7 linked regions of the Mus musculus genome follow. The protein of the gene in region 4 purifies or fractionates together with the protein of the main gene of each other region. This does not show direct contact. Links are inferred from orthologs where the notes say so. Each region holds a gene or a part of one and is shown on either strand. Other genes may lie near its edges.

What was found.
Region 1: the proteins of Wwp2 (region 4) and Polr2c purify together in Homo sapiens (affinity purification with mass spectrometry; 3 studies listed by BioGRID and IntAct, with this or other methods). This does not show direct contact. The link is inferred for Mus musculus from reciprocal best matches to the Homo sapiens genes WWP2 and POLR2C.
Region 2: the proteins of Wwp2 (region 4) and Gpn3 purify together in Homo sapiens (affinity purification with mass spectrometry; 3 studies listed by BioGRID and IntAct, with this or other methods). This does not show direct contact. The link is inferred for Mus musculus from reciprocal best matches to the Homo sapiens genes WWP2 and GPN3.
Region 3: the proteins of Wwp2 (region 4) and Polr2m purify together in Homo sapiens (affinity purification with mass spectrometry, with the first as the bait; 3 studies listed by BioGRID). This does not show direct contact. The link is inferred for Mus musculus from reciprocal best matches to the Homo sapiens genes WWP2 and POLR2M.
Region 5: the proteins of Wwp2 (region 4) and Ldlrad4 purify together in Homo sapiens (affinity purification with mass spectrometry; 3 studies listed by BioGRID and IntAct, counting the BioPlex papers as one, with this or other methods). This does not show direct contact. The link is inferred for Mus musculus from reciprocal best matches to the Homo sapiens genes WWP2 and LDLRAD4.
Region 6: the proteins of Wwp2 (region 4) and Ndfip2 purify together in Homo sapiens (affinity purification with western blotting; 3 studies listed by BioGRID and IntAct, with this or other methods). This does not show direct contact. The link is inferred for Mus musculus from reciprocal best matches to the Homo sapiens genes WWP2 and NDFIP2.
Region 7: the proteins of Wwp2 (region 4) and Ptpn14 purify together in Homo sapiens (affinity purification with mass spectrometry; 3 studies listed by BioGRID). This does not show direct contact. The link is inferred for Mus musculus from reciprocal best matches to the Homo sapiens genes WWP2 and PTPN14.

What each region holds. Positions count from the first base shown.
Region 1 is NC_000074.6:94,860,150-94,864,914, forward strand, and holds the end of Polr2c (DNA-directed RNA polymerase II subunit RPB3), read left to right. Parts: intron 1-94; coding exon 95-163; intron 164-294; coding exon 295-347; intron 348-1,561; coding exon 1,562-1,690; intron 1,691-2,032; coding exon 2,033-2,084; intron 2,085-2,371; coding exon 2,372-2,540; intron 2,541-2,660; coding exon 2,661-2,735; intron 2,736-3,302; coding exon 3,303-3,447; 3' UTR 3,448-4,093; downstream 4,094-4,765. UniProt on the Homo sapiens protein: Core component of RNA polymerase II (Pol II), a DNA-dependent RNA polymerase which synthesizes mRNA precursors and many functional non-coding RNAs using the four ribonucleoside triphosphates as substrates.
Region 2 is NC_000071.6:122,375,341-122,379,312, reverse strand, and holds part of Gpn3 (GPN-loop GTPase 3), read right to left. Parts: intron 847-3,972; coding exon 679-846; exon of another isoform or gene 602-678; intron 1-601. UniProt on the Homo sapiens protein: Small GTPase required for proper localization of RNA polymerase II (RNAPII). May act at an RNAP assembly step prior to nuclear import.
Region 3 is NC_000075.6:71,477,572-71,480,567, forward strand, and holds the end of Polr2m (DNA-directed RNA polymerase II subunit GRINL1A), read right to left. Parts: intron 1,970-2,996; coding exon 1,826-1,969; 3' UTR 866-1,825; downstream 1-865.
Region 4 is NC_000074.6:107,434,987-107,439,550, forward strand, and holds the start of Wwp2 (NEDD4-like E3 ubiquitin-protein ligase WWP2), read left to right. Parts: upstream 1-1,383; 5' UTR 1,384-1,455; intron 1,456-4,163; exon of another isoform or gene 4,164-4,564. UniProt on the Homo sapiens protein: E3 ubiquitin-protein ligase which accepts ubiquitin from an E2 ubiquitin-conjugating enzyme in the form of a thioester and then directly transfers the ubiquitin to targeted substrates.
Region 5 is NC_000084.6:68,253,485-68,256,395, forward strand, and holds the end of Ldlrad4 (low-density lipoprotein receptor class A domain-containing protein 4), read left to right. Parts: intron 1-524; coding exon 525-1,055; 3' UTR 1,056-2,065; downstream 2,066-2,911. UniProt on the Homo sapiens protein: Functions as a negative regulator of TGF-beta signaling and thereby probably plays a role in cell proliferation, differentiation, apoptosis, motility, extracellular matrix production and immunosuppression.
Region 6 is NC_000080.6:105,257,021-105,261,639, reverse strand, and holds the start of Ndfip2 (NEDD4 family-interacting protein 2), read right to left. Parts: upstream 3,018-4,619; 5' UTR 2,968-3,017; coding exon 2,638-2,967; intron 1-2,637. UniProt on the Homo sapiens protein: Activates HECT domain-containing E3 ubiquitin-protein ligases, including ITCH, NEDD4, NEDD4L, SMURF2, WWP1 and WWP2, and consequently modulates the stability of their targets. As a result, may control many cellular processes.
Region 7 is NC_000067.6:189,726,832-189,731,312, reverse strand, and holds the start of Ptpn14 (tyrosine-protein phosphatase non-receptor type 14), read right to left. Parts: upstream 3,046-4,481; 5' UTR 2,649-3,045; intron 1-2,648. UniProt on the Homo sapiens protein: Protein tyrosine phosphatase which may play a role in the regulation of lymphangiogenesis, cell-cell adhesion, cell-matrix adhesion, cell migration, cell growth and also regulates TGF-beta gene expression, thereby modulating epithelial-mesenchymal transition.

The sequences.
Region 1 (4,765 bases), about 13 Mb from region 4:
GCGCCGGGCAGAGTGGAGACAGTGCTGCTGCAGGTCTGTAGATGTGTCTGGTGACTAGTCCTCACTTACCCTGTTTTGTTGCTGCCTTTTCCAGCCATCGACTGGGTTCAGATTGACGCCAACTCCTCGGTCCTTCATGATGAATTCATCGCGCACAGGCTTGGTGAGTGCTGGTGTTGAGGTGGACCGGATCAAATGGGACGCTCCCTGTCCCCAGCCTGCGTGACCTCCTTGAGGCTCTTGTGATGGTTTGGCTGTTGGCTGTTCTGCAAAGCACTCTTCTGTGTCTTGCAGGTTTAATCCCCCTCACTAGTGATGACATTGTGGACAAGCTGCAGTACTCCCGGGTATGTGTGCTGGTGGGAAGACTGGGGCCACGGGGAGGGGCCGGGGGATTGTTCTCCCTGGAGTCTTCCGGGGTGTCTCCCTTCCAGTTGTTGTGGCTGATGGTGGAGATGATGTCTTAATAGTGTGGTCCTTGGTTCTGATGGAGCATCGGATTGCTCTCAGCACATCCAGGCGTCATCAGTGAGCCTCAAAAGGGAACACACGGGTGGGTGTGGTGGCGCACGCCTTTGATCCCAGAGCTTGGAAAGCAGAGGCAGGCGGCTCTGTGTGAGTTCCAGGACAGCCAGGGCTGTACAGAGAAACCCTGTCTCAAAACAACAAAAAGAGTCCGGGAAACATACCCACTTTTACGTACGTACAGGTCTGCCTCTGTGTCTGAGCAGGTGGGCTAAGGTGAAAAGAGGGCATCAGAGCCCCCGGAACTAGTTACAGGCAGTTGTGAGCTACTGGATTCAGGTTCTGGGAACTGAGCAGGAGGTACTTCTAACAGCTGAGCCATCTCTCCAGCCTCCATTTATTCTTTTCGGTTTTGTTTTCGTTTTTAAGAGAGTCTCACTATGTTGTTCTGGCTGGCCTTGAAGTGAAATCTGCCTGCTCTGCCTCCTGCATGCTGTGGTTATTAAAGGCATGTGTTCCCATGCCTGTCTGAGAAATGTTAATAAAACACCGTTTATTTTTTCCTCTGTAGTTAGTAGATGTTAATGCTTTACTACATTTGCCTGATTTTCCTCTAACCTTTTAGATAATAAGTTGCACGTGCTCTACCCTTCCCTTCTACATACTTGAGCGCATGTCTGTGCTGTAATCCTCTATGGCTAGGTAATCCCTCCCCAAATAATCTAAAACTTGAAAGGTGTTTCGGTTTTTTGGGGTGGTTTGTTTGTTTGTTTGTTTTCCTGTTTTTCCCTTCTTTGTATTTTCAGTTAATTGCCAAGCTGGTCTGCATAAACAGGACTATATAGTCCCATACAACCTTGGTCCCTTGAGATGACCTCTCTAGGCACTGCTATATTAGGAGTGGGCCCCCTAGTGGTCAGCTGTAGCAGTGAACATGGAAAGGAAGTGTAGTTAGTTATCCTGAGGTGAACCAGATGTCACAGCCCAGAAGGGCTGGGACCGTGGTCACCCCTTTTCACCAAGAAGAATCTGGAAAGAGCTGGATAGGAGAAGCAGAGAGTCCAGTCTCCTCATCCTAGCTGTCCTCCTGCCTCAGGACTGCACATGTGAAGAGTTCTGCCCTGAGTGTTCTGTGGAGTTCACTCTCGATGTGAGGTGCAATGAAGACCAGACGCGCCATGTCACCTCCCGAGATCTCATCTCCAACAGCCCCCGGGTTATTCCGGTTAGTGTCTTTGCCCTTCTCTGCCTGCCTCCAAGTGGGACAGATTGGAGTGGGTCTTTATGAGGCAGATGCTAACCTACCCTGTGACCATCTACGTTAACTGCCACCTAGACGTGCTGGTCCTGAGTTCCTGAACAGAGCAGTATTAGTGCCATGTGCCCTATGTTGTTCAAAGACCCCATTAAAGGCCTCTGGGTTCTTTGGACAGCTCTGCCATCTCCTTCTTCTTCTCAGCCTCCTTTCCCCGGATTGACGGATTATAGGCTGCATTTGCTGAGAGACAGTTGCCAGAGGTGACTGAGAGGTGAGAGGCTAATGCATACTTGTTTGGGCTTCCTACAGGTGACATCTCGGAACCGGGATAACGACCCTAATGACTATGTGGAGCAGGATGGTAAGGGGGTGGGGCGGGGGGGTGAATGGGGGTGAGGGGGTGGGGCAGGGTGGTGAGGGGGTTGGGCAAGGGTGGTGAGGGGGTGGGGTAGCATGATAAGAGGTGGGGCAGTCAAGCGGGTGGCCAGAAGATGCAGAGGTCAGATGTGCCCCTTTGAGTTGCCTGGTATCTTTCATTCATCTTTGGACCCTTTGCCAAGATGTGGATTGTCTTCATGCAGTACTACAGGTCACAAGTTGGAGAACTTGCCTCTTTTTGTTCTGGCTCACTCTCACCTCTCCCTGCAGACATCCTTATTGTCAAGCTGAGGAAGGGGCAGGAGCTGAGACTTCGAGCCTATGCCAAGAAGGGCTTTGGCAAGGAACATGCCAAGTGGAACCCTACTGCGGGGGTAGCTTTTGAATACGATCCAGACAACGCACTTAGGCATACAGTGTATCCCAAGCCTGAGGAATGGTATGTTCCTGGGGGGAAGGGGAAGCAGCAGTGGCTGTAGTGAGCGATAGGTGGGTAGTGCTCTGAGAGCCTTGCTACAAGCAGAAGTAGCCCCTGTGCCTCACCTGTGCTTGCCCTCAGGCCCAAGAGTGAGTATTCCGAGCTGGATGAGGATGAGTCGCAGGCTCCCTACGACCCCAACGGCAAGCCAGAGAGGTAAGACCCCAGGCCTGCTTGCGACTGTAATTGTAAATAGAGGTGTGGGAGGCTGTTAGGCAGTCACACACCCAAGCTCACCACACCCCACCCCATCCCCCACCCTGTGATAGAAGAGCTAACTGCCAAACTCACATACACATCTTGAGTTGGTCTTCCTTCCTCTCCGGTCACTGTGAGGAAAGGGGCCTTATTAACCCCTGCTGTTTCTGGCCTTCCTGTTTGGGCTCAGGCCAGAGCAAGACTGACCATAGCCCTCCCCTGAAGTGCTGAAGGGCTGTAGCCAGCATCGTGTTTGGTTTTTCCTGCTGTCTCTGGTGTAGAAATGCACATAGAGTCATCTTAGGGTTTGTACAGCAGTGCTCTTTAGAAGTAGCTGGAGCTTCCTCGGGGAGCTGTGAAGTGGATCTGGACCATTGCGCATAAGGAGTCTCAGGAAAAGGGAAGACCCTGTCCTGAGCTCAGGGCCTCATAGGAATGGAATCAAGTCTCAGAGGACAGAAGGGAAGTCTGCCCGAAGCCGGAGCTTTGCCTCACGAGAGCTCTCACCCCACTCTCGTCTCTCAGGTTTTACTACAATGTGGAGTCGTGTGGCTCACTGCGCCCTGAAACCATTGTCCTCTCAGCCCTGTCGGGGCTAAAGAAGAAGCTGAGTGATTTACAGACTCAGTTAAGCCATGAGATCCAGAGTGACGTGCTCACCATAAACTAGCCACGGCTCGCCTGCCTCCGAAGACTAGGTTCACGGTGGCTGGACTTCAGGCCTCGGGAGCCCTTGTAGTTTCTGGGCTATGCACTGCACAGTCTGCCCCCTGGAAGGCCATCGGGGAGATGGCCAGGGTCCCACTGGTGTTAGACATGGCGGGTTTTATTAAGCGTTGAGCATCCCGGGCCCTACTGTAGTGGTTTTCAGGCAGCATGGGGGGAAACACACACCAGCACGGAAAAGAAGGAATATTTATTGATCAACAGTAGTTGTCTTTTTAAAAGTTTTTATTTTTGGCAATAAAGAGCACAACATAATCTCCTTCATGCGTCATCGTGCCACTAACTGAGCCAGTTTTGCCTCCCTCCCAAAGGGTTGGGCCCATTTCTTGTACAAACTAGCTGACCTCTGGGTGGTCATTTCCTGGGTCACAGAGTTGGGCTGGCTGTGCCACCTCCCTGGCTCTAGGGCACCCCCTGGGAGGGGCCCCTTATCATTCTGCCACACATGTGAACAGTGGTTATTTACAAGGTCTGTTCCCACAAATCAGAACCCTAAAGTATTAAAAAACAGAAACACGCAACAAAAGGTTTGATGTGAATAGAAAGATAGCCCTTCTGCACGGTAGTCAATAAATACCAGCACTAGAAAATCAATTGCTTTAATTGCATTTCAGCAGGGAGCCTCAGCACCGTGTGGGGAGATAGGAAAGTCTTAGTTTTGGAATCTGGCCTGGGGTGGCTGGCCTGGGCAAGGGACTCCCCCTGCTGGAGCTTTATACCCCTGGTCAGTGAAGGAGAGCAGCAAGGTGCTCCCCACAGCAGTCCTGCTGCAGTCCTCCCTCCGGGCTGGCCCCAACTGTCCTCTGCTGCCGAGGTAACGGGAGCCCTGCCCAAAGACATCTTCAGCCTACTGAGCAGGAAGGGGCCAGTGCAGAAAGTGCATTTAAAAACCAGATGCCGCCTCTGCTAAACACTCCCAAGTGCAAGGCTGCCACACGGTACAGTGAAGTTTAGGACTCTTCCTGTGTCACTGTAGGCCCAGAGGACAGAGCTACCTGCTGTCCTGGCCCTTGGGCTTCTGAGGAAGAGCCAGCAGACAGCACCAGTCTGATTGTCCCCCTCCTCTGACCCTGGCAGCTCAGGCCATCTTGGCAGCAGGAGAGTTGTATCACTGAGGACAGGCACTGCCACCCTCATACTCAAAAACAGCCTTGACCATGCCTGGTCGTGGAATTAAAAATGGGTATGTGTTGGTGGGGAGGGATAGAGGGAAGCCTCGTTTATACAGTATATGTTATAAGCCATATATATTAAAACCATTA
Region 2 (3,972 bases), on a different chromosome or scaffold from region 4:
GAAATCCGCCTGCAAATCCGCCTGCCTCTGCCTCCCAAGTGCTGGGATTACAGGCATGCGCCACGGCGCCCAGCAAGCAGACTATATTTCTACATTTCTTTTTGCCAGTGCTGGGCTGGGGAGGTGACCCTGTGGTAGATTGTCTCGCTGGCATGAAGTAGCCCAGCACTCACCCCTCAGCATGGAAAACCAGTGATACGAGCATAAAGGGGTGGCTTGGGAATCCACACTCGTGACACACACATGAACAAGGCTGGCTCCGGTCCACAGCTCACACGTCACCTGTCCCTTCCCAATTTCACCTCACAGCACCTCTGGTCAAATAGCCACCCCTGCCTCAGTCTGCTCATAGCTTCTTGTCTGAGGCCCTTTGCCTGCACAACTGACTCCATGTTGTCCCATAGCCTATTTTAACGGACAACTGACCAGTTGCCTCCTGTTCCCTCTGTGGGTCACCTGCCAAAAATACAAATCATGGGGCAACTGCTGATCGCACTTGCTTCCCACTGAGCCACAAGCTATGGCCCCTTACTCTTAAGGTTGATCTCAGTAAGCACTTGATCAACCCAAGGGATAAACCGGATCCAACTGGGTTCTGCAGGTACTTGTTCACTACGTCCCCACGAGGACACAGTGTCACAGCTCCAGGCAGATTGTACACTCAAGTTGTTGCTGTACCTGGACAGTCAAAAAGGATGTAATCGTCCTCGACGTGGCCCAGGCAGTTCTCCAGCCAGTCAAAGTTATTGGCAAAGTACTCCATGCAGAAGACCAGGCCTCCGTTGGGGCCGAACCGCAGAGACTCGTCCTCCATCACATCGTCCACCTCGATCAGCTCCCGGATGTCTGCAGAGCCAGGCAGGGACCAGAGTGAGTATCCACTTGGAAAACTAATCAACAGGTATATATAGATACACCCCTCACACATGGGGCTGGGACAACGACTCAGTGACTCAGCGTGCTTGACGCACCATCCTAAGGACCAGAGTGTGAGCCTCTGGCATCCATGGAAAAGCTGGGCCTGGCCGCACCTCTGCAACTGCAGTGCTGTGGGCAGAGACAGGAGGGCTGCTGGGGGCGGGGGGGAATTATGTCCAGGGTTCACAGAGAAAGGAGCTTTAGTTGAGGAAATGCCTCCATGAGATCCAACTGGAAGGCATTTTCTCAATTAGTGATCAAGGGGGAAAGGCCCCTTGTGGATGGGACCGTCTCTGGGCTGGTAGTCTTGGGTTCTATAAGAGAGCAGGCTGAGCAAGCCAGAGGAAGCAAGCCAGTAAAGAACATCCCTCCATGGCTTCTGCATCAGCTCCTGCTTCCTGACCTGCTTGAGTTCCAGTCCCGACTTCCTTGGTGATAAACATCAGTATGGAAGTGTAAGCTGAATAAACCCTTTCCTCCCTAACTTGCTTCTTGGTCATGATGTTTGTGCAGGAATAGAAACCCTGACTAGACAGAGACCCTGCCTCAAAGGTGGAGAGTGAGAGACCCAGACAGCTGACTGAGCATTACTGCAGAGATATCACACAGTAGAACACTTCAGACACAAGAGGGAGGGGAGCTCTTTTTTTTGTATTTTTTTGTTTTTTTTTTTCCAGACAGGGTTTCTCTGTGTAGCCTGGCCATCCTGGAACTCACTCTGTAGACCAGGCTGACCTCGAACTCAGAAATCCGGGGTTTTTGTTTTTTCATCTTTTTTTTTTTTTTTTTTTTTTTTTTTTTTTGAGGCAAGGTCTTAGACCAGGCTGTCTTAGAGCACAGAGATCTGCCTGCCACTGCCTCGTGAGTGTTGGAATTAAAGGCATTCGGTGCCACACCCAGCTTGGAGGGAATGCTCTTTATAGCATTAAGTGAAAAACTTAGTGCATAGAACTTCCTGTAAGAATCAGGTGTGCTTGCCAGGCAGCTCTTGGGAGAGTGGGGAAAGAGGGCTATACAGCTACAGAAGTCCACTGCACAGACTTTATGTGTACACTCAGTTGCTTATGGAGGAACACATCAGAAACCAGGGACATTGGCTACTGAAGGAAGCAGGCTTGACTGCTGGGCCACAATTCTGGACACTTCCTGCTCTGAGCTGGTCACAGTGTGAACCACTTGGCTATGTAGTGCCTATATCAAGAAGTCAGCTGAAATGAAGCCAACTGCTATCTCTTCACTTGATGACCAAGAAGCCAGTTAACTCCCAAGCCTGATTACAAGTTGGAGATGGGGAGGGGAGCACTCCGACTGGGGTGGGAGGATGGGAACTCTGTGACTGACTTCCTAAAAGGTATTCAATCTAAACAAGTCACCTTCTGTGAGGCCCCCGGGGGTCTCTCAAACATCTTTCTGCTTAAGGAAACCGAGTGCTTCCGCCACATGATCCCAAAGCAACAGCCTGCCTCCTCCTTTCCCTTTCCCCCTTTTCCCCTTTCCTTTTCTTTTCTTTTCGTTAAGAAGTATTTATTTATTATCCATAAGTACACTACTTGTCTTTAGACATCCCAGAAGAGGGCATCAGATCTCATTATGAATGGTTATGAGACACCATGTGGTTGCTGGGAATTGAACTCAGGACCTTGGGAAGAGCAGTCAGCACTCTTAACCTCTGAGCCATCTCTCCAGCCCCAGCCTACCTTTCTCTCTCTCTCTTTTTTTTTTAGAATTAATTTTTTTATTAGGTATTTTCCTCATTTACATTTCCAATGCTATCCAAAAAGTCCACATTACACTCCCCCCCAACTCCCCTACCCACCCACTCCCACTTTTTGGCCCTGGTGTTCCCCTGTACTGGGGCATATAAAGTTTGCAAGTCCAATGGGCCTCTCTTTCCAGTGATGGCCGACTAGGCCATCTTTTGATACATATGCAGCTAGAGTCAAGAGCTCAGGGGTACTGGGTAGTTCATAATGTTGTTCTACCTATAGGGTTGCAGATCCCTTTAGCTCCTTGGGTACTTTCTCTAGCTCCTCCATTGGGGGTCCTGTGATCCATCCAATAGCTGACTGTGAGCATCCACTTCTGTGTTTCTAGGCCCCTACCTTTCTCTTAAGAGAAGATGATTTCCACTTCCTCCCCAGCTTGCTCCCCAGCTCCACCTACTAGAGGGCCTTACTCCTCAAGAATGCACATCTGTGATCCCAGCAATCAAAGGCAAAGGCAGGAAGGTTAGAAGTATAAGACCCCATAGGAGGAACATCAATATGAACTAACCAGTACCCCCAGAGCTCCCTGGGACTAAACCACCAACCAAAGAAAACACATGGTGGGACTCATGGCTCCAGCTGCATATGTAGCAGAAGATGGCCTAGTTGGTCATCAATGGGAGGAGAGGCCCTTGGTCCTGTGAAGGCTCGATGCCACAGTGTGAGGGAATGCCAGGGCCAGGAAGCAGGAGTGGGTGGATTGGGGATCAGGGGGAGTGGGGAGGGAATAGGGGGTTTTCAGAGGGGAAACCAGGAAAGGGGATAACATTTTAAATGTAAATAAAGAAAATATCTAGCCAGGCAGTGGTGGCACACACCTTTAGTCCCAGCACTTGGGAGGCAGAGGCAGGCAGGTTTCTGAGTTCGAGGCTAGCCTGGTCTACAAAAGTGACTTCCAGGACAGCCAGGGCTATACAGAGAAACCCTGTCTCAAAAAAATAAAAAAAAAAAACGTTTTTGGATATGCCAACACCTGACTATGCTACTGAACTTCACTATGGAGTATATTACCATTGCAGAAAATTTGGTGAAGGTACACAGGAATCCTTTGTATTATTTCCCACCACTGTACTTGACATTGACTCAAAATCAAGCTTAGAATAATGACTTTGGAGAGACTTTTCAAAAAATTCTCCATTGCCTTTTACCAAGGTTCCACTAAAATACAAAAGTACCAGTGTCTCACGTAATGAAAACTGTAAGTAGTGAAGAATTATTTTGTGAATAATTAAGGAAGAAATAAATACTATTTAATGATTCAAAAAAGTATAAGGCCATCCTTGGCTAC
Region 3 (2,996 bases), on a different chromosome or scaffold from region 4:
TAACCTCTGTAGTGAGTAACATACACCAAGCCCCTCAAAAACTCTGCAATTTTACTTAGAAATTTCACTTCTCAAGTGTGTCTAATGGCTAAGGCCTATAAGCCTTGAAGCAGAAAAGCAAGGTCAAAGCTAACCTGGGCATCTTAGTGAAACCTTGTCTCAAAAATCAGGTCAACTGATGCTGGTGATGTAGCTCAGTGGTAGAGCACTGCTCAGCCTGTGTTAAGCCCTAGGTTCAACCCCCAGCTTCACAGAAAAGAACAACATAAGTTCATTTCTAGAACAGCTCTGGGGACTGGCAAGATGTAATGAACGTCCAAGGTGTTGCGCACATCACCAAGCACTGGTTATATAATCATTTCATAAGATATCCAACTGTTTAAAAGCTATAGAGCAGCCATAAAATGCATATTGTGGTTGAGATGGTTGAGATATAAAACATTTAACACAGGAAATGTTTGCAAAACATGAAGCAAACTGATAATACATATAAAATGGCTACACAGAAAGCAGATCAGAGTACACTCGACTATTGACAGACTAAGTGGTCAGCTCAAGGGGGACTGACTGCGACTGCATGCTTGAGTGTGGTCTCTCCTTTACAGCCTTCTAGAAGCACTAGTTCATTCCAGATAAGGAATATAAAACAATGTGTTTTGAAATCACCTATTAGCAGTTTTAAAACCACAGGTTCCATACTGTTCTTACAGCAACCTTTTCTTCATGGGAGAGATGTGGAAAGTGCTGACAGCTAGAAGCATCCACTATGGAATCAAGCCCTTCCCAGTATGTGTCTAATCTAAATGTGTTTTCAGTCCAACTTCATGTATGAACACTGCTTTTAAAGAACGGAAACTCAAACAAGTACCAAGAACACATCGCCATGAGCTCGGGGAGCTGCTCTGATTGGTATTTTATTTCTTCTTTACAAGTTCCACGTAATAGACAAAGGCTTTTGATAACATACTGTTATCTTTGCTCAAAACGATCATATAATCATTTTAAACAACACAAATGTGTACATACATGACTGAGGTTTCTGCAGCCTATAAACACCTCTTTGGGTTTAAAAATGAAAAAAGCAATGTACTCACAAGTCAACTGTAACTCTTAGAAAAACATCGGTTTCCTTACCAAACGTGAACGCCCTGTACAGGGACCTATCATCGAGACAGCAATGAGTTCAAGCCAAGGGAGGCCAGGAGCAGCTCCCCACACCAGCTCAGAAGACCCTCCCCCGCCCAGCACCTCTTCAGCGCTCCTTGTCCTCATCCTAGGAAGACAGCAGTCACCCCAGAGAGACAGGATCAGCCAATGCACTTGCTGTAACATTTCTGAGTGTCTTCCACAGTGTTTCACATCCAGCATCTCAGGAACATGTCCATGCAGGCACGTGGACCATTCTTTACACTTCATTTCTTGAGCGAGGGAACCAGGCCTTCCTAATTCACTTTAGGTGCCTGGGGTAACAAAGTATTTCACCAGAAAGGGTGTAAGCAGCACTATCTGATAAGAGTACAGATAAGGAAAATGCAGCTAAAGAAAACGTGTGCTCTACTCACACTAAAATATCAGACCAATGCACAACATACTGCAAAACTGTAACACAATACGGCCAAATACAAGGTTCACATATTAAACTGTGCAAGCTGTGAAGAGCGTCTTCTGAAAGACAAACTGGGTTCTTACTTTGTAGCTACCTTTGTGTAACTTAAAAACCTGCTGTCCCTCAACAAGGTCTGACGCTGGTCTTGATACTTGTTAGGAAGTTCGATGAGCCAATGAGAGCTCTGCAGCCAGCTCTCGGGGTGTCCCAGCCCTGTCTTCAGCACTCATCCGAGGACTGGGCATCAGCTTCGTCCCTCACTTCTCGGTATCTCCCTGAAGACTCCCCTTCTGGATTGTAGCTCTGCATTTTAATATTCAGTCTCTCGGCCAGTTTCTGTGCTGCGAGCTTTGCCTGCATCTCCTTTAAAACAAACACAAAGGCCAAGTTACACATCCACAGCTCCCCTTAGATATGTGGCAGGACCGGAAATAAAGGAACATTGGCTCCCACTGTCTCTCTGGCAACACAAGCAGCTGACATTAGTGTCCTGTCAAGACATGGGGCAATGTTTCCGAGAGCTGTCAGCCTGCTGCAGTTCCCAGCTGCAATCAAAACAGCTCACCTCCACACAAGACACTGAGAAACCAGCTTGGCACTACAGCAGCCATTAATAGACACACGAAGTGTCGCGTATGCAGTGAACCACCTGCCTTTGTTAGAAATCACCAATGTGGTGCTGACATCTTCCACTGACTTTCTTCTCTAGACTAAATCATGTTTTCTAGATTTGAAGGACACACCAAAATGGCACAAAAAGAGCCAAAACATTAATGCTGCATGCTGAAGTCTTATAGAAATTTATACTTGAAAAGGTCCACGTAAATTCAGATGTGCAGTGGACTTTTCCACACACAAGACTTTACTCCAACTGCTGGCAGGCTACACAGCTCATCTGATTCACCTTCTGTACCACCCACACTTCTGTACCGCCCATAGCAGGTCCTTCCTCTCTGCCCACGATATATGGGTAGGCATAATTGGTATCATAATTACTATTCTGTCAAGGCAACACAATTCAAGCTGAGGGTTGAACCTAAAAATGTTTCGAGGTTTTTTTTGTTTTTTTTTTTAAAAAGTCGTTGGGCTGTGGTGGCGCACACCTTTAGTCCCAGCACTTGAGAGGCAGAGGCAGGAGGATTTCTGTGGCCAGCCTGGTCTACAGAGTGAGTTCCAGGACAGTCAAGGCTACAGAGAAACCCTGTCTCGAAAAAGGAGGGGGAAAAAAAGTCCAGAGACAACTCACAGGTCATTCCTCTGGCACAGCACTTGGATCTGATGCTAATTTTAGTGTACTAATGTACTGGGAGGAAGAAACGCAACAGGCCATAGAGCTATCAGTCCCAGCAAGCTGAATGCTAGGGAAAAGCCAAGGTGGAGTCAGAGATAG
Region 4 (4,564 bases):
GCATTCATCTCGCCTTTTGGCTTCTGTAGTTCTGTTGCTGTTTCTGCTAACTGGAGCATGTCGACCCAGGACGCGAATTTTGCGCTTAAAACCTCGCCCCGAGAAAGGCTTGATACTACACAGGGATCCTGAACACCCAGTGTAGTCACAGGGTGGCTAATAAAGACTTTCTCTTGGTAGATACCCCACAGCAAAGACACCGGACACACAGGTGGTACACAGATACACTTCAAGAGAAACATCTATGTAATAAAATACAAATGAAAATGTAATATTTCAGTTAACAAAAACCCAACAAAAATCCAGGTAATCAGAACAATTAACTCGGTGGTGGATGCCAGCCTAGGTTACATAAAATCTTGCCCCACCTGTCTCCTCTCTCACCCCTAACCCTCCACCCCAATGGTATAAACTGGTAATCCTAACTACTCAGAAGCTAAGGCAATGGAATTAAAAGTTCTTGGCCAGTTGGAGCATTTAAAATAAGACCCTGTTCCAAATAAAAACCAGAAAGGAAGCAAAATGGCTGGGAACATAGGTCAGTTGGGACGCCCTGGACTAGTCACGTTCAACTGTCAATCTTGCAAAACCCAGAAAGTTTCTGTTGTCCAGGCTACGGTGAGGTATGTCTACAATGCCAGGAATCAGGTGGCCAAGGACAGCGCTGGGTTCCAGGTCAGCCAGGGTTACTTACATAGATTCCCTGTTTGTTAATTCATAATGTTCAGTTTACTCCGTAGGGGAGGGGAGCGGGGGGGGGGGGATGGGAGTTGGTTCCCCATGGGGAAGACACGTAGGGACTCCGGAAGTTTTGAAAGGGTGTCAGGTTGTCGTGTGTCATGTCCCATGCTCCACTCCCGTCCCTCTTTCCAGTTTTGCTTCTTGGAACAACAGATGCCTTACAAAGGCCAGGGCATTTATACTTCTAGAACTGAGAACAAGGCCTTACAGAGTTGGCACAAGCTAACGACATTACATGGGATGCTCAAGTTTGATCAGTATACATCTGTGGTACCAAAACATCCTTTGCAAATTTGGGGACATGCTTAGAGTTACACGGTTTATCTGACACTCAAGTTTGGAGGGGGGGAGCGTACTGTTTTTTATCCAGCAACTCCTTCAAGACTTGACTTAACTGATCGGATGGTCTTCTCCCACCTGTACCATGGCGGGAAAACAACTGTACTTGCTTCCAAAGGCATACATAAAGACCCCGGGGCCCGGTGAGCCCTTATTTTATACGTTTGCTCGGGCACAGCCCGGGTGATCCTTGCAATCCCGGCCCTGAGCGGGTCAAACGCTCGCCGCCCGGGTCCTAGGTGGTCCGCACCTGCGCGCCCCGGCCAGCCTCTTCCGGGTCAGGTGACCGCGCACGCCCACGTGACCCGGCCCGAGTGCGGGCGCTGGAAGGCGGAAGTGGAGCGGAGTTAGGCGCCGCTGGTGTGGCCGCGGCAGGTAGGTGGCGCGGGGGCACTGGGGGGCTCGGCAGCGAGCGGGCGGCGCGGGGCAGCCAGGGGGCGGCGGGCGGCGCGAGGGGCCGGGGGCGGCGCGGGGCGGGCGCCGGGGGGCGGCGGCTTCCTGTGGGAGGGGCCTGGCGCGCGGTTCCGGCCTCCGAGGAGGGATGTCCCGGCTCGCGCCCGGGCGGGGTGGGCGCGGGGCCCGGCGGGAGTCGCCCGCTGGTGGCGCTTCCGGAAGGAGACCCCCAGCCCCGGGTGCCTGCGGTGCGGAGGAGCCGTGTCTGTCTGGGAAGGGGGCCCGACCTCAGCCGGGGAAGACTCATTTGCTCCCTGGAAGGGGCTGCCTGGGAGTGGGCGTCTGGCTTGTAGGGACAGGGAGAAAAAAATCTGGACGATGCGGCCTGGACCCCATTCCAAGAGTCTTTTTTCCTTCCGTCCTCTTTAAAAAGGATGGCGATCCGGGACTTTGATACCGGTTCTGTTCAGTTCTTTAAACTTCAGGAGGGATCCCTGAGTCTTGATCGTCTGACTCTGGTCACACCCACTTTGCCCTGTTTGGGTAGGGTTTCCACTTGTTGGGAACCTTGCCCATCAGATCGTCTTTCTTTGAGATGCTCCCGGATCGGGTCATCTTGGAGGCCACCAAAAAAAAAAAAAAAAAAAAAAAAAAAAAGACGTGTAGGTGCTTTGCTGTGATCATAACAAGACTTTTAACCTACACTGTTGTTGGCGACCTGGGCCGGCGTTACCTCAGCAACGCATTGACTGCTGAAGTCATGGACAGTTGAAAGTCTGCCCATACCGATTTGAGACCTCTCAAGCTTAAATTATGCAGCTTCCTTTACCATGTGACTGCTTATCTTGACCAGCTGTGACTAGGTGGGGTGACTGAGAAGTTTCTCTTGTGTTCCTTAGAACTGTGACCTAGATCGTAGTTTTTGAGGTTAAAAATACCCATCTTAAGATTCTTCATCCTCTAGGCCTAGGCCTGAAGATGGCTCCAAGTTCCAAGCCAGCCTAAATAAACAAACAGGCCACCCTCTTTTCCCTTCACTTTTGCTAAGGTTTGCAGAAGTGAAGCAAAGTTTATGAATGCAACGAAGGTCAGGGTTCAAATGGGACATTGACAGGAGCCAGAATCACAGGTCGCTAGGGGGGAAAAAGCACTTTGCATTAATATATTAGGAGTTGAAGACTTGGGGGGTATATTATAAGCATTTAAAAGTTAATTTTTGTAGCAGTCTCGAGAAGTCATTCACACTTTATAGATAACAAGCTAAGAGAATTGACTTAAAATAAAAGATGTATTTTTATTTGTGTGTATGTTCCTGTGTGTATGTGCCCACCAAGGACAGACAGAGCATTGGGTCCTTTGGAGCTAGAGATACAGGTGGTTGTGAGCCTCTGGATTTGCATGCTGGGAACTGACCTTTGGTCCCGTGGAAGAGCAGTGAGTGCTTTCGCCTGCATCTCTTTAGTCTCAGCCTGCCTGACATCCTCATTTTGTTTTTCTTCCTTGTTTACTGTCTTCCTGCTAGGACTGTAAATCATTCAAGGGCAGTGATCTTATTTTACCTGACTTCTTTGGCTACTAGCCCCAGGCCTGGTATGTTAGGAGTACTTGGTCAGTGTTTGAGAAGTAAATGAGTTTTTAAAGGTCACACTGCTCGGTGTATGTGGAGAACAAGGGGTTAGAGCATAAGTTTCCCGTCCCTTTCTCTGTTTAGTGTTACTGGTCTATGGAAAGCCAGAACCATGAGGAGAAGGCTTCAGTTGGCTTGTCAGTCTCTTAATTTTTTGTTGTTGTTGAACATTGCACCTTCCCACTTCCCTTCTTTTTGTAATTTTTTATTTTATTTTTTTCCTTTTGAGACAGGCTCTCAGTAAGTTGCCTGGGGTGGCCTCAAACTCCTGTAGCTCAGGCAGGCCTTGAACTTGTGATCCTTCTGCCTCCAACACAACAGTAGTTAGGATTTGAGGCCAATACCACCAGGTCTATCTTAGTCTTTCATTTAGTGACTACATCCCCATCTGCAAAGAACTGATACCAGATTCTCATTTATTTTTATTTTGGTTATTTATTTGAGACAAAAGTTTTACTGTGTAGACCTGGCTGGCCTAGAACTCATAAAGATCCAGCTGTTTCTACCTCCCAAGTGCTGGGATTAAAGCTGTGCGCTATTTACTATGCTCAACCTCTCTCCCTGTCCGGTCCAGCCAGTCCCCTCCCCTCCCTTCTCCCCCCTCCCCTCCCTTTCTCTCTGAGACAGGGTCTTTTAGCTTTTTGATAGAAGGTAGGTTTTAGCCCAGGCTGGCCTCAAACTGGTTATGTTGTGGAGGAACTTACGATAGATTCTCTACCTTCCAAGACCTGGGGTCGCAGGCCTTCATTCACCATTGTGCCTGGCTCAGCGTCTCGTCTCATTCATTTCCAGATCTCTGAAGGTTGCATTGCTTCATTCACAGATGAAGAACTGAGGCTTACTGAAGTCCTGATATTAGATTCTGGAACTAGTAAATAAATGCAAGAGTTGGCTCTCTCCTTCTATGGGTCCTGGGAACTGAGTTCCAGTTGTCAGGCTTGCTGGCAGTCACCTTTACCCAATGAGCCACTTTCTCTATAACCTAGGTCTGTTCTTCTTAGACCTATTACTTTTAATTCATAGAAGCGATAAAAAGTTTCTTTTTTTTTTTTTTTTTTTTTTTTAAAGTACAACTTCCATTTTATTTTTCCAGGGTAGTTTTCCTTCTGTCCTTACAAAACGGCCTCTTTACATGGGCTTTGGTGGAGGTCGAGGTGCAGCGCCAGCAGGTCTGAATCGTGGTGGGGGTGTTCGGTCCTTCCGGGCTTCGCGGGATCGATTCCTAACAACCTTGCTATGGATGGCACAGCTCACGCAATAATGCAGCTTGACATAGAGCTTGGGAAGCACGTAGGCGTCGAAGACGCTTGCTTCAGATATGTCCCTGACAGCAGCGGCTTCTACAATGTTCCGAATGACAAACTTCTTGATGGCCTTATCCTTGGGCACGCACCGGGCGCAGTTCGTGCAGCGAATGGGCTGCACATGGCCGCGGCCCTTTTTGGCACGACCGTTGTTTCTTCT
Region 5 (2,911 bases), on a different chromosome or scaffold from region 4:
AAACAACAAAATGATTTTGGATGTTGTAGTTAGGGTTTCACTGCTGTGAAGAGACACAGTGACCACAGCAACTCTTATAAAAGGACAACATTTAATGGGGGCTGGCTTACAGGTTCAGAGGTTCATTCCATTTTCATTACTGTGGGAAGCATGGCAGCGTCCAAGCAGGCATGGTGCTGGAGGAGCTGAGAGTTCTACATCTTGTTCTGGAGGCAGCTAGGAGCAGACTGTCTCCCAGGCAGCTATGAAAAAGGCCTCAAAGCCCAAAGTGACACACTTTCTCCAACAAGGCCACACCCACTCCAAAAAGGCCATACCTCCTAATAGTGCCACTCCCTGGGTCAAGTATATTCAAACCACCACACTGGACACTATTCTTTTATGTTTTACATAGGAAATGATGTGAGGGGTGTGTGTGAAAACTGGTGTGAACACAGAGCAAGCTTGAACTTCCCTCGGCCTGCCCCATTGTCAGTCACAGTTGTACTGAGAATCTCCTCAGACCTTTTCCTTTCTCCTTCCAGATCATGTGTGCCCCACGGGGCAGGGATAGGTTTACTACCCCATCTTTCATCCAGAGGGATCCATTCAGTCGTTTCCAGCCCACCTACCCCTATGTGCAGCACGAGATTGACTTGCCTCCCACCATCTCCCTGTCAGACGGGGAGGAGCCGCCTCCTTACCAAGGACCCTGCACGCTACAGCTCCGGGACCCAGAGCAGCAGATGGAACTCAACCGAGAGTCCGTGAGGGCCCCGCCCAATCGAACCGTTTTTGACAGTGACTTGATAGACATTTCTATGTACAACGGGGGACCATGCCCACCAAGCAGCCACTCGGGCATCAGCGCAGCTACCTGTAGCAGTAACGGAAGAATGGAGGGGCCACCCCCGACCTACAGCGAGGTGATGGGCCACTACCCAGGCACCTCGTTCTTCCATCACCAGCACAGCAACACACACAGGGGCAGCAGACCACAGTTTCAGCCGAACAACTCAGAGGGCACAATAGTACCCATCAAGGGCAAAGACAGGAAGCCGGGGGACCTGGTCTGATTCCCTCTAGAGTGCACTTTTCAAGGAGAGAGAAACCGCGGCAGGGAGAGAGAGGCCCGCTGGCCCCACTGCCACAGTGTTGTCCAGCTTTACTGGTACAGCCAAGTAAAACCAAATGTGCAAACACGGTCTTCGTTTCTGCTTCCTTTCACGGGAATTGCATGCAAACAAGATGGAAACACGATTCAAACTTCCATCCAGTTTGACCACAGACAGTGTTCACCTTGGGGCAGGGGGTGGATGGAGACAAGGGCTAGAGATGGTATGATCTTGGCTAAGTGGTGTGCAGAGAAAACTAAAAAAGGCTGCTTTGAAGACATCATGAAAGTAAGACCCACAGAGGTATTTTTGACATATTTGATTCCAAAAGGAGACTGCGGATAAATGAGGCCACAGTGGCCTGTTTTATAATTAACTGAATAAAGAGGGAAGAATTATTATATATTATCATGGGGAAGAATCAGCCAGTTTGCTTTTTCTCCAAAGGTGTGAAACTTATTTTGTTTTAAAAATATGAGTCAAAACTCCTGTTTGGTGTGCCAAGGTTTTAAAGTTGGAGAAGTTAGACGAGTGAGAGGAAGTGATTTGTGTTGTGATGGTATGTTTTAAGAGTTGCACTATCTCAATGTTTAACATATGGATGAGGGAACCGTGTCGTGTGAAGTTCTATATGTTGTCTTGTCACCTATGGATGGCTACCATGCCCAAGGAAACACTCTTGAGTGTCCACAGAGTCATACAAGAAAGGTATTTGGCAATGTACCCTGGTGTTTACCAAGTTAATGTACATTTTTAAAAGTGGTTATGTTGCAAGAATTTGCAGCCAGAAGCCGTGTACTACTGAGGTATTTGGAGAGGTTGGTGAAAAGAGATGCTTACACTGTGTACGGAGTGTCACGCACAGCTAGTCTTTTTCCCAGCAGGGTCAGCAGTTCAGACTTTTTTTCCACAGTAGCATGAAATATATTCAGATACATACCCTATTTTATGCAATAAATCGTCTAAAATGCAAGCTGGCTATTTTGTGTACTGCCGAACTATGGGTCGCAGCGAGTCCCATTGCACTTCTCCACTTTCCGAGGCAGCTCTGTTGAGTTCTGCGAGGGTAGTCTGTTTAGCACCTGGCACCAGCAGTTGTCCCCAAGGCCACTTGGCTTTCTAAGTGCCGTGCTGGTAATGGTTCTTTATGTTTAATAGGCCCCTGGACGTGATGAGAGGAACGAGTTTGGCATAATAAGCCACTGCATCTCTCCAGTGTTGCATGTTAGGGGAATCCGGCACAGACCTGCCAGCGCTCATGCCAAAGACTTCTGCATAGCCAGTCTTCGTACCATGGTCAGTGAGAGGATAGAGGTGGTGGGTCAGGGTGTGACTCAGGACAAGGCAGTGGCAGGCAAAGTTGCAGCTGGAAAATGGCTTCTTAGTATTTGAAGTCAGTTTATGATTTCGAACATTTTTTATGTAGAATAAACAACAACAACTTTATTATGCAGATGTAAGAGCTGGCTTCCTAAACTGCACGGAGGCAGGCTCCAGCTTTCTGGAAGTCTGGCCTCTGCATGCAACACAATGAACCGGAATAGAAATTCGGTGGCAGCTTTAACACCAAATCGATCTCTGTCTCTCTCTGTCTCTGTCTCTGTCTCTCTGTGTGTGTGTGTCTGTCTGTCTGTCTCTGTGGTGTGTGACTGTTTTTAGAAGTGATTACATGAAGTAACTCTGTATTCTTACCTGAGAACTAAATTGTTCAAAGCCGGAGTCCTCTCTGACCCCAGGCTTCTCATTTCTGCTTGTCTTAGTAGGCAGGCCACTGGCTTAGTTTGAGTTTTGAAATCTCCTTTGAATTCATCCATTTT
Region 6 (4,619 bases), on a different chromosome or scaffold from region 4:
TTTTTTTTTTTCTGAAATTAGAAAATTAGCAAGACATTGTAGCTGTACATGTTGTCTATTGTTGTGGATTTCTAGCAATGAATAGGGAATGGGGTGGGGGGACATTATTATAGCCAGGGATGGTGATGTGTGGCTGTTAGCCTAGTGGGAAGCTGAGGCAGGAGGATCATGAGCTCCTTGGCTACTCGATGGTTGAATGCTTATCCAGAATGTGCACAGGCCAGTCTGGCTAAAAATAATAGTCATCCAGATGTGGACACAGCCTGGAGGCCCAGCCACAGATAAATGGACAAAGAAAATGTATAGATACATGAGGATGTTTTATTCAGCTGAAAAGAATGAACATTCTTAGGAAACAGGAAAACAGATGGAACTGGGGTGGGAAGGGACACAATATGTTAAGTGAAATAAGCCAGATTCAGAGAGAAAAAGGCATGTTTTCTATCCTAAGAGGAAATGTAGATTTAAATTTATATATACATACGTATGCATATGTAGGACACGAAAGTACAAAAAGGACTTATAAAATCCAACACTTAATATGTTGGCTAAAGCAATAATAAAAGAATAAACCCTTTGGATACCCTAAAGAAAAGAAAATGTCCTGGATAAACTGTATACGTGGATTAAAGACAGTAAGCCATTCTGATCACCAGGCATCACCAGTATGCAGAGCTGAGTTTTAGCTCTTTAAATAAGAGTAAATCCACACAGCACAGTGTTTCTCACCCCTATGTACAGTTCCCTATCTCCTGACCTCATCATCGCTAACAAAGTTGTTTACTGCTCCAGTTTATTAATCATTCTAGAGTTTCAAAATAAGGCCTGACCTAAAGGTAGCCATAAAACAGGCATGCCCATTACATAAGCTAAGCTTCCAGACTGAACCCCAGCTACCGAGTCTACGCAAAACTCAAACTCAGTTGTATCTATGCCGTTTTCCCAGACAAAGCTACTCGCAAAAAAAAAAGGGAGGAGGGCAGTTTATCATCCTAAACACACGAACTTACTATGTAACCACAAAAGTAAAAGAATGAAAATACAAATTTAGACTATAATAAAATTCTCCAATGCTTCTCCCCATAAAAAATAATATTCTATCTAAAAGAAATAATTTATTTAGAATGACTGATTTCTGCCCTCTGCCCTTACAGAGTGGCTCCACCCACTCAAAGTCTTTATAGGACACAGCTTCAGTTTTGAAGGGAAAAAAATGTAGTATTTTATACCTTCTTTCAAAGTTTAGACAAAAGTAAACTCCAACATTATCTGAAGAGATTTTGAGAGAAAAAAATAGTCTCAACTAGTTACCTCCATCAAAAGCAAAAGAGACAATATAATAAATTAAAACTATTAACACTATTTTAAGTATCATCCATGGTTGAGCCCAATAAGGAAAAGCAACCCAAAGAAAGAATTCAAATCAAATTATATCACTTAGAGACACAAACAGAAGTGGGTAAGATTTGAGAAGTAAAACAAGTATCAATGATAAAATTACGTGGCTTTTTTTTTTTTTGCAAACACTTAGAAAGGGAACAATGTCTTTTAAAAAATATAAAGTTACCCAAAGCTGACAACTTGAAAAGCACCTTCAATAAACTGGCAAGATTTCTATTTCCTAAGCCATTCTGAAAATGTTGATAATTTTCAGAAAGTTCATAATCTAAATCACCTGGCCATGCTATAGCAAATAGACACAAATGACAGAGAATTCTTACCAAAGAAAAAATGAAAATTTAAGTCTCTACCACAATCCTTCAGATTTGTCAAAAGGCACAACACACATGCAGACAGACAGAAAAGATGACATATAGGACTAACTGTGCAATCTTATAAACCCGACACGCAATAGCAACAATATGCACAAATGCTTTTCTTCTCTCCCCCCGTAACTATGTTCCACTAAATTATCTAAAAGTTTATAAGTGAAAACGCAATAAAGTAAATATTGCTGACAATGCTATTCACAATATTTATCTCCAATGACATCACTAAAACACACAGGGTGTAAAATACAGAGATTCTGACAAAGAAAATACAGGGCGCATTTCACTCATTAAGCATAGCTGGTGGTTTACATACTTGAGTGATTTTAAAACTCTGTATTAAATGAAAACTATTTCATTTCAAACAAGGTTTGATTTTTTTTTCTAATAAAGCGCTGCACACACGAACACAGGCAAAGCAGGAACAGATTTAAAAAAAAAAGAAAAAAAAAACGATCACTGTAATACTAACACAATGGAAAAGGGCAAAATGACAAGGTTAACTAGAAGAGAGGCACCTTCCCCATCACAGCTCTTCTCTACCCCTCACGCCGGTTGTAGCCCTGCTGCACCCCACTCTATAACCTCACACAATTCAGGCCACCGGTCGGGTCGACTCCCTGACAGGTACCTGCACCCTGCCCCGCCGCAGGGGGACACCACTCACTGCTCACGGGTGTGTGAGTCAGGGAAGAAGGAGGGGAAAGAAAGCCAGCCGGGGTGAGTCGGGGAGCGTCGCCGGGGAGGGGGCTCGGCGGGGCGCTGGCCGTCGACTGCGGCCGGGGGCTGGCGGAGAGGTGGGCTGGGCGGGAAGGGGCCCGCCGGGACGCCCCGAGGCCAGCGTCCTCCCCGGGGCCCGCGCACTCACCACCTGGTAGCGACCAGTCCCCAGCTGGTGGTGATCCATCCTGCCCGCCTCGGGGTCCGGCTTCCGAGCGGGCGTGTCCCCTCGGCGCTCAGCTCCCTCGGCCTCCCGGGTCGACGTCGTCGCCGCCGCCGCCGCAGAGCCTCTTCCGCCGCCTCGGGTTCTGCCGCCGAGGTCGCCTGGCGGGGCCGCTTCACTTCCTGTCGCTCCCTCGGCTCCAGCGGAGAGCTCCGCGTCGCTCGCCGATCGGCGCCGGAGCTCCGGGGAGCCGCGCGCGCTACTGAGCATGCTCGGCGCGGACGCGCATGCTCTCTGGCTCCGCCGGCGTCCCATCCGCCGCCCGGCTCCGGAGGTGTCCCTAGGTGGGAGGAGATGGAAGAGTCAGGCAAGTCCCCGGGAGCCCTCTAGGTTGTCATCTAGTCGACAGTGGGCGGTGGCAACCGAAGCGGAAAAGAAAAAAAAAAAAAAAATCGTCCCACTTGATTGGATTTTCCTGTGAGGGCAGGTTTCACTGTGGGGCGAGAGGATGCATCGTCACTGCGGAGGGTGGAGGCGCTGCATTCCTAGAGCACCTGAGGACAGGTCGCCCTTTTATTAGTCCCCAGCCTAGAGCATCTCAAAGAGATCCATCTCAGGACAGGCCTAAAAAGGCGCTCATTCGAAATCATTAATGAGGTAATGAATTACCAAATACCAGGGACATATACATATACAAAGACCACATATACATATATAAAATCAGCTTTAAAGTCACAGTAAAATTTCGAGGAAGGAAAAAAAAAAGACAGTCTTGCTTCTGAGCACGCGTAGCCTTCCTCAGTAGAACAGCTCATTTGTGACAAATGTTAAACCCATTTGACAGCGTACCATTGTCAATCACTTAGAATCCATAATAGATTGCATTGGAGTTCATTTTGAACATTGTACGTTGTAGGAGTTCTGACAAATATACCCTAACTATTATATATCATACTGAACAGTTTCATTACTCTGAAAATCCTGAATAGGGCTTTACCCTCCTCTTTCTTTTGCCCCCTTGTTTCTAAGAGATTTACAAATTCTTCAAACATATTCTGATGACATACAGAGAAAGAGGCCTTTAGAAATAGGAAATGGGAAGGACAGAAGAAAATAATGAAGTGAGGTAGGATTTTTGTGTGTGTGCTAATAATACTCAGATATTCCTAAGATAATGGTAAAGAATCAGTTTTTGTGGCGCATCATAATACCCTGTGACACCTCTCTCTCCTCTCCTCTCCTCTCCTCCCTCCTTCTTTCTCCTTCTTTCTTCTTCCTTCTTCTTTTTCTTTCTTCTTCCTTCTTTTTCTTTCTCTTTTTCTCCTTTTTCTTCTCCTTTTTCTTTCTTTTCTTTTTCTTTTCTTCTTTTCCTTTTCTTCTTCTTCTCCTTTTCTTCTTCATCTTCGTCTTTGTCTTCTTCTTCCTCCTCCTCCTCCTCCTCCTCCTTCTTCTTCTTCTTTTCTCTCTCTCTCTCTCTCTCTCTCTCTCTCTCTCTCTCTCTCTCTCTCTCTCTCGGCACAGAGCATGTTTCTCTAACAATTAGAAGACTATGGCAGACCAGCAAAAGGTACCTTTTAACCCAAACATCTGCTTCTTGTACCCTGAGATCTGTGGCCCTACTCGATCTGGCCCAACTGTTCTTTTTAAGATAATCAAGCCCTTTCCCCATAACTGTTCTTACTATGGAGATCTCCTGGGGATCCGGGGAGGGAAACCTGGAGACCATCTCTCACTTTGCTTCATACATGTGCAGATGAGATTGCCGAAAGAAAGGAAGCCAGATGAGACTGGTACAACTGGCCAGATCCAACAAAGTTCAATAAACTTTGTATAGTTGTAGCTAGAAAAGTTAAGTCTTTCTGATATTTTTATTTTTCAGATGATTTATCAGATCTCTATTAGGATCATCTTAAAATATCTAATATTAGCATTGCCAGACCAGAAATAATAAAAAGCAATTGGTGTTG
Region 7 (4,481 bases), on a different chromosome or scaffold from region 4:
CAAAAACTCAGTTCAGACACTAACTTCCTCCCTACTGAAGCTTTGGTGTCTGTTTCTCTCCTTCCTTAATTGGCTAATTAAGTATTTCATCTTATCTCTTCTCCTCCTGCCTCACCTCCAACCAAGTGCCTAGCAAAGTTCTGAGGCTCAGAATGGATTTGAAACCCACACAGCACTAGGTAACCAAGCAATGAAAAGTTCAAAAGCAAGAATGTGGCCAAATTCTCCTTCAAAAACAGACAAGACTCTGGAACCCAGGTGAGCTCAATTTGCTAGGAAGAGGCCAATACTTGTATCCCCCATTGGGAAAGGAATCCAGTAAAAAAAGCATACACTGGGGAAATCCTCACAGCCGTGGGCTTCTGCTCATCCCTGGGGCAAGGAAGAACTCGTCTGGAAGCCCTGATTGCCTCTGAATTCTTTGTGGTGTGCCAACATTAAACGTCTCCCTAAGGTGATTCTCTTCCAGCTGACCGTGGAACATAACTCACACCAGCTTGAGTAACTGCGGTGCTATGAGTTTGTACACACCAAGGAAGAACGCCTCGAGGAGACCCGGGACCAAGCAGCACAAAGCAGCGGCCTGTTGACACACATTTCTCTCATGCAGGTCCCACACACATTCCAGATCTTCCACCGTGGACATGCTTGCTCTTGGGATCGGAGTTGGGCTGAGAGAGAGTCCTGAATAAACACCCTAAATTGCAAGGAACCGCTCCGGCAGCTTAAGATACATGAAGGCTGGAGACCTTGCGTCTTAGCCAGGACCGACCACTAGGAATATGCACTTCAGCCCAGTGAACAAGTCCCCCAGAGAGGTGACTGTGGACAACCTCTCCTGCACTGAGGAGCTCTGCAGGCAGTGTGTGCTGGACCCTGAGTTACAAGGATGGAAAATTTCGGTTTCTACAGGTTCAGAGAGAGCAAAGAAAACCTCAAGATGCTGCGGAAACTCAGAAACTTCTTTGTTTGTTTGTTTGTTTCTTTCCTTCTTTCTTTTAGTTTTTCGAGACAGGGTTTCTCTGTGTAGCCTGCCCTGGCTGTCCTGGAACTCACTCTGTAGACCCAGCTGGCCTCGAACTCAGAAATCCGCCTGCCTCTCAAGTGCTGGGATTAAAGGCGTGTGCCACCGCTATCTGGTGGAAACTCCTTTTAAAAGCAGTGATTCTGAGATACATAGCCACATCCTTCAACTGATTCTCCACGTGCCAGCCACACAGTCACACGGGTAAGAGTGCTGCTAGGGAAGAAAGCTGTTAGGGATCTGGGAAAGGGATGAGCACTGGTGACTGGTGAGCACGAGGCCTGGACCAGGTTCTGTCCCCAGCACCAAAGAGGAAACTCCACTTGTAAGACACAAACTGCTCTCCCCATGTCAAAAGCTCTCAGGACAAGGTTCTGTAGTGGGGTGGGATGGTCCTCACGGGGATACTTTAACAAAACCAAGGATGGGTAAATTAACGACAATTAAACACCTGTCACCCTACAGAACCCTGTGGGAAACACATCAGGGGAGGGAACATGTCCAAGGGAACGCTTTTGATCCTTGGAAGCTACTCCTGGTCACGGGAAGTGGGTAAAAGACTTCCGGTTTCGTTTCTGCTGGGGTGGGGGCTAACTATGCCAGCAACATTGCACCAACCTGCCCATACATGCCCAGCCAGCCACCAGGTCGCTCTCCAAGACTTTCTGCACGCCCCTCTCCGCGCCCCTCACTTTGCCCAAGCTGTTCCCTCCTCTGGAATGCGGTCCCTCAACCACTCCTAAGTTGAGCATCATTCCCTCAACGAAGGTAACCCCTTTCCTCCAGGGCCTGGCCTTCCCAAGAGTCTCAGAACCCCTCTCTCACAGCACATGTCCCCATCCGCCCACGGCTGCCTGCAGGGTGCTGCAGACTCTTGTAATGTGATCTCTTAGCACAGGGGAAGACTCACCACTGAGTTTGTTGAATTAATGAGGGAGGAAATCCATTTCAAGAAATTAACGCATTTTGGAAATTGACCATACATACACCCATTCAGCAGCAGTCTGAACTCGCCTAAGTAGGACCCAGCTAATCCGTGAACCAACTAAACTCAAGACCCCAATATCTCCTCAAACCAAAGGAAGAAGGGCAAAGCGGGATAGTGACAGCGCACATCAATTCCTCCCAGAAAAGATAGGAAAACCATTCCCAAAGATTTAAAACTAGATGTGGCGTCACGTGGGAAAGGGGCTGTTAACTCTCAGAACTTGCAAAGTTCGAGTTGGAGATTGGTCTGAGATGAAGGTATTTTTCCCTGCGCGCCTGTAAGGATCACCCAAGCCGGGGCCAAGAGACTCAGGAGTTTGGTATCAAGGCTGAGGTATTGGGGAGAGGGCACAAGAACCCCCTCACAAACCCAGTGCCCACAGAGGCACAGGACAAGCTTTGGGCTCTGCGCTCTGTTCCCCTGCTCGCAAACACAACAGGAGCTGGAGGCGATGTTTTGGCTGAATCCGAGTCCCAGACCGCGCTCCCCTTCCAGCTCAATCCCGGACGAGCGAGCACTGCTAGCGAAGAGAACCGGCGGCCGGCCACCTGGCGCCCCCACCGCGCATCCCGGCGTCCCCGGCGGCGAACGAAGTTGGCTCTGCCTGGAGTATCTGCTCCCGACCGGCTAGCTTACCTGCTTACATGGCCCGGGAGTGCCCCGGGTGCCGCACGTTGACCATCAGGGAGTCTGGGTCCCCACCACTGGCTTCCAGGAGCTGGCAGAGGAGGGGCGCAGGGAGGGTTACGCAGCGGCCGGCGCGCCGGGCGCACCGGGGAGGAGAAAGGGCCAAGAACCTAAGCACCGCCGTCCCACGCGAGGGGACCCGGGCGATCAGAGAGGTGGGGCGCAGAGAGGGACCGCCAGCGGCCACTTGGTACCAGATGCTCCACGAGGACCTGCCCTGTGGACGAGACGGCTGAGCCGAGGAGCGCAGCTAGCTGGCCGGGCCCGCGGCCGAGGCGCTGGGCAGCCGGGAGAAGTTGTGCAGAACTTGAGCCTCCGGAGAGCCCGAGCGCCAGGAAGCGCGAGCGGCCGGGGAGGGCGGAGGAAGGGGCCGGGTGGGAGGGGACGAGCAGGCGCCGCTGGCCGCGCTCCCCCGCCCCGGGCTCTGCTCCGCAGTGCTGGGGGCCAGGAGGCGGGGAGCGCGCGGGGCGCTCGCTGGGCGGGCCAGGAATGCGTCCGGGGAGGGCGCGCGCCAGCCTCGGGGACGCGCGCCCTGCGCTGAAAAGAGGAGCCCGGGCTCCCCCGCTGCGGGCGCACGGTCCCCAGGGACGTCACAGCGCTGGAATCCGAGGAATGCCAGGCTGCGGGAGCTCCTTCGGCCGGCCGGGCAGAAGTCGTGCACTTTTAATGGGCTAGCTTTGGAGCGCGTTTTCCCTACCAAGGTGTGGGACGGTGGACTAAAGGAAAGTGCCCGGAGTGAGATAGACTGGAAGTGGAGAGGGGGCGATGACCCAAATCAACCAAACTGTGTGACGCTTAGGAGGCGGAGGGGAAAGAGGAAAGGAAAAGACCGTCCCTCCAAGATTTCCGTGGGCAGCTAAGGGGTGGGACACTGGAGCTAGAACAGGCCATTTATTTGAGGGAGGTCTCCAAGCAGGATGCCCCCATGCCGCCACCGCCCAGGAGACACGGGACAAAGTAGGGTGGCCTCCTTGAGAAGGCAATCTAGAAGCTCTCCTCAGAATCCTAGGATCTCTGAGTAGTGAGTCTTAGCTCCGGTCCTCCCACCCCGCCCCCACGGCCAACCAGCCTTTGTGTGCTGGAAGTTGGAATATGTGGTTTTCCCGGTTTGTTCCATGCCACGGAGGGGGCCCCACCCCGCCTGGGTAGGCACTGGGAGGGAACTGCGTTAGCACTTTCGGAGGTGGGGTTACTGAGGCGCAGCCAGTGTAATGGAAAAGGCACTCGGCCGGGCAAGGAAACCTGTATTAGGCCCCGCGGAGTTGCTGGCCCAGTGGTTAACTCAGGAAGATCCCAGCCCCCTACCCCTGATCCTTGGGTTTAGTAATTGTGAAGTGAAAGGAGTTGCCTATATTTTTAAGGTGCTTTGCATGTCTTGGCATCTGTTCTCTTCCTGAAATCTTAAGACCAGTCCTTTCAAGGACCCTGAAGTCCTTGTCACCCAAAATATCATTAAATTACTTCACTGTACAGGCAAGGGACACAAAACTTCCAGGCCTTATCCTATCAAAATGGCTCATGCCAACTCTGGAGGCAGAGACAGGAAAAATCACAAGTTCGAGGCTGGCCTAGACTACATAGCAAGACCCTACCTCAAAACAAGAAAGAAAGATCTCTGTGCCCACAGAGCAAGTCTGTTAATAACTGGCTTCTGAGTGTTCTTCTACAGAACCAAGAAGAATAAAAGAGGACGGGGGGGGGGGGGCGTGGAGGGGGCAAAATGGGGTGGATGGAAAGCAAAGGAGGCTGAGTCTTTCAAAATATCAAGGAGAGGGCTTTGAG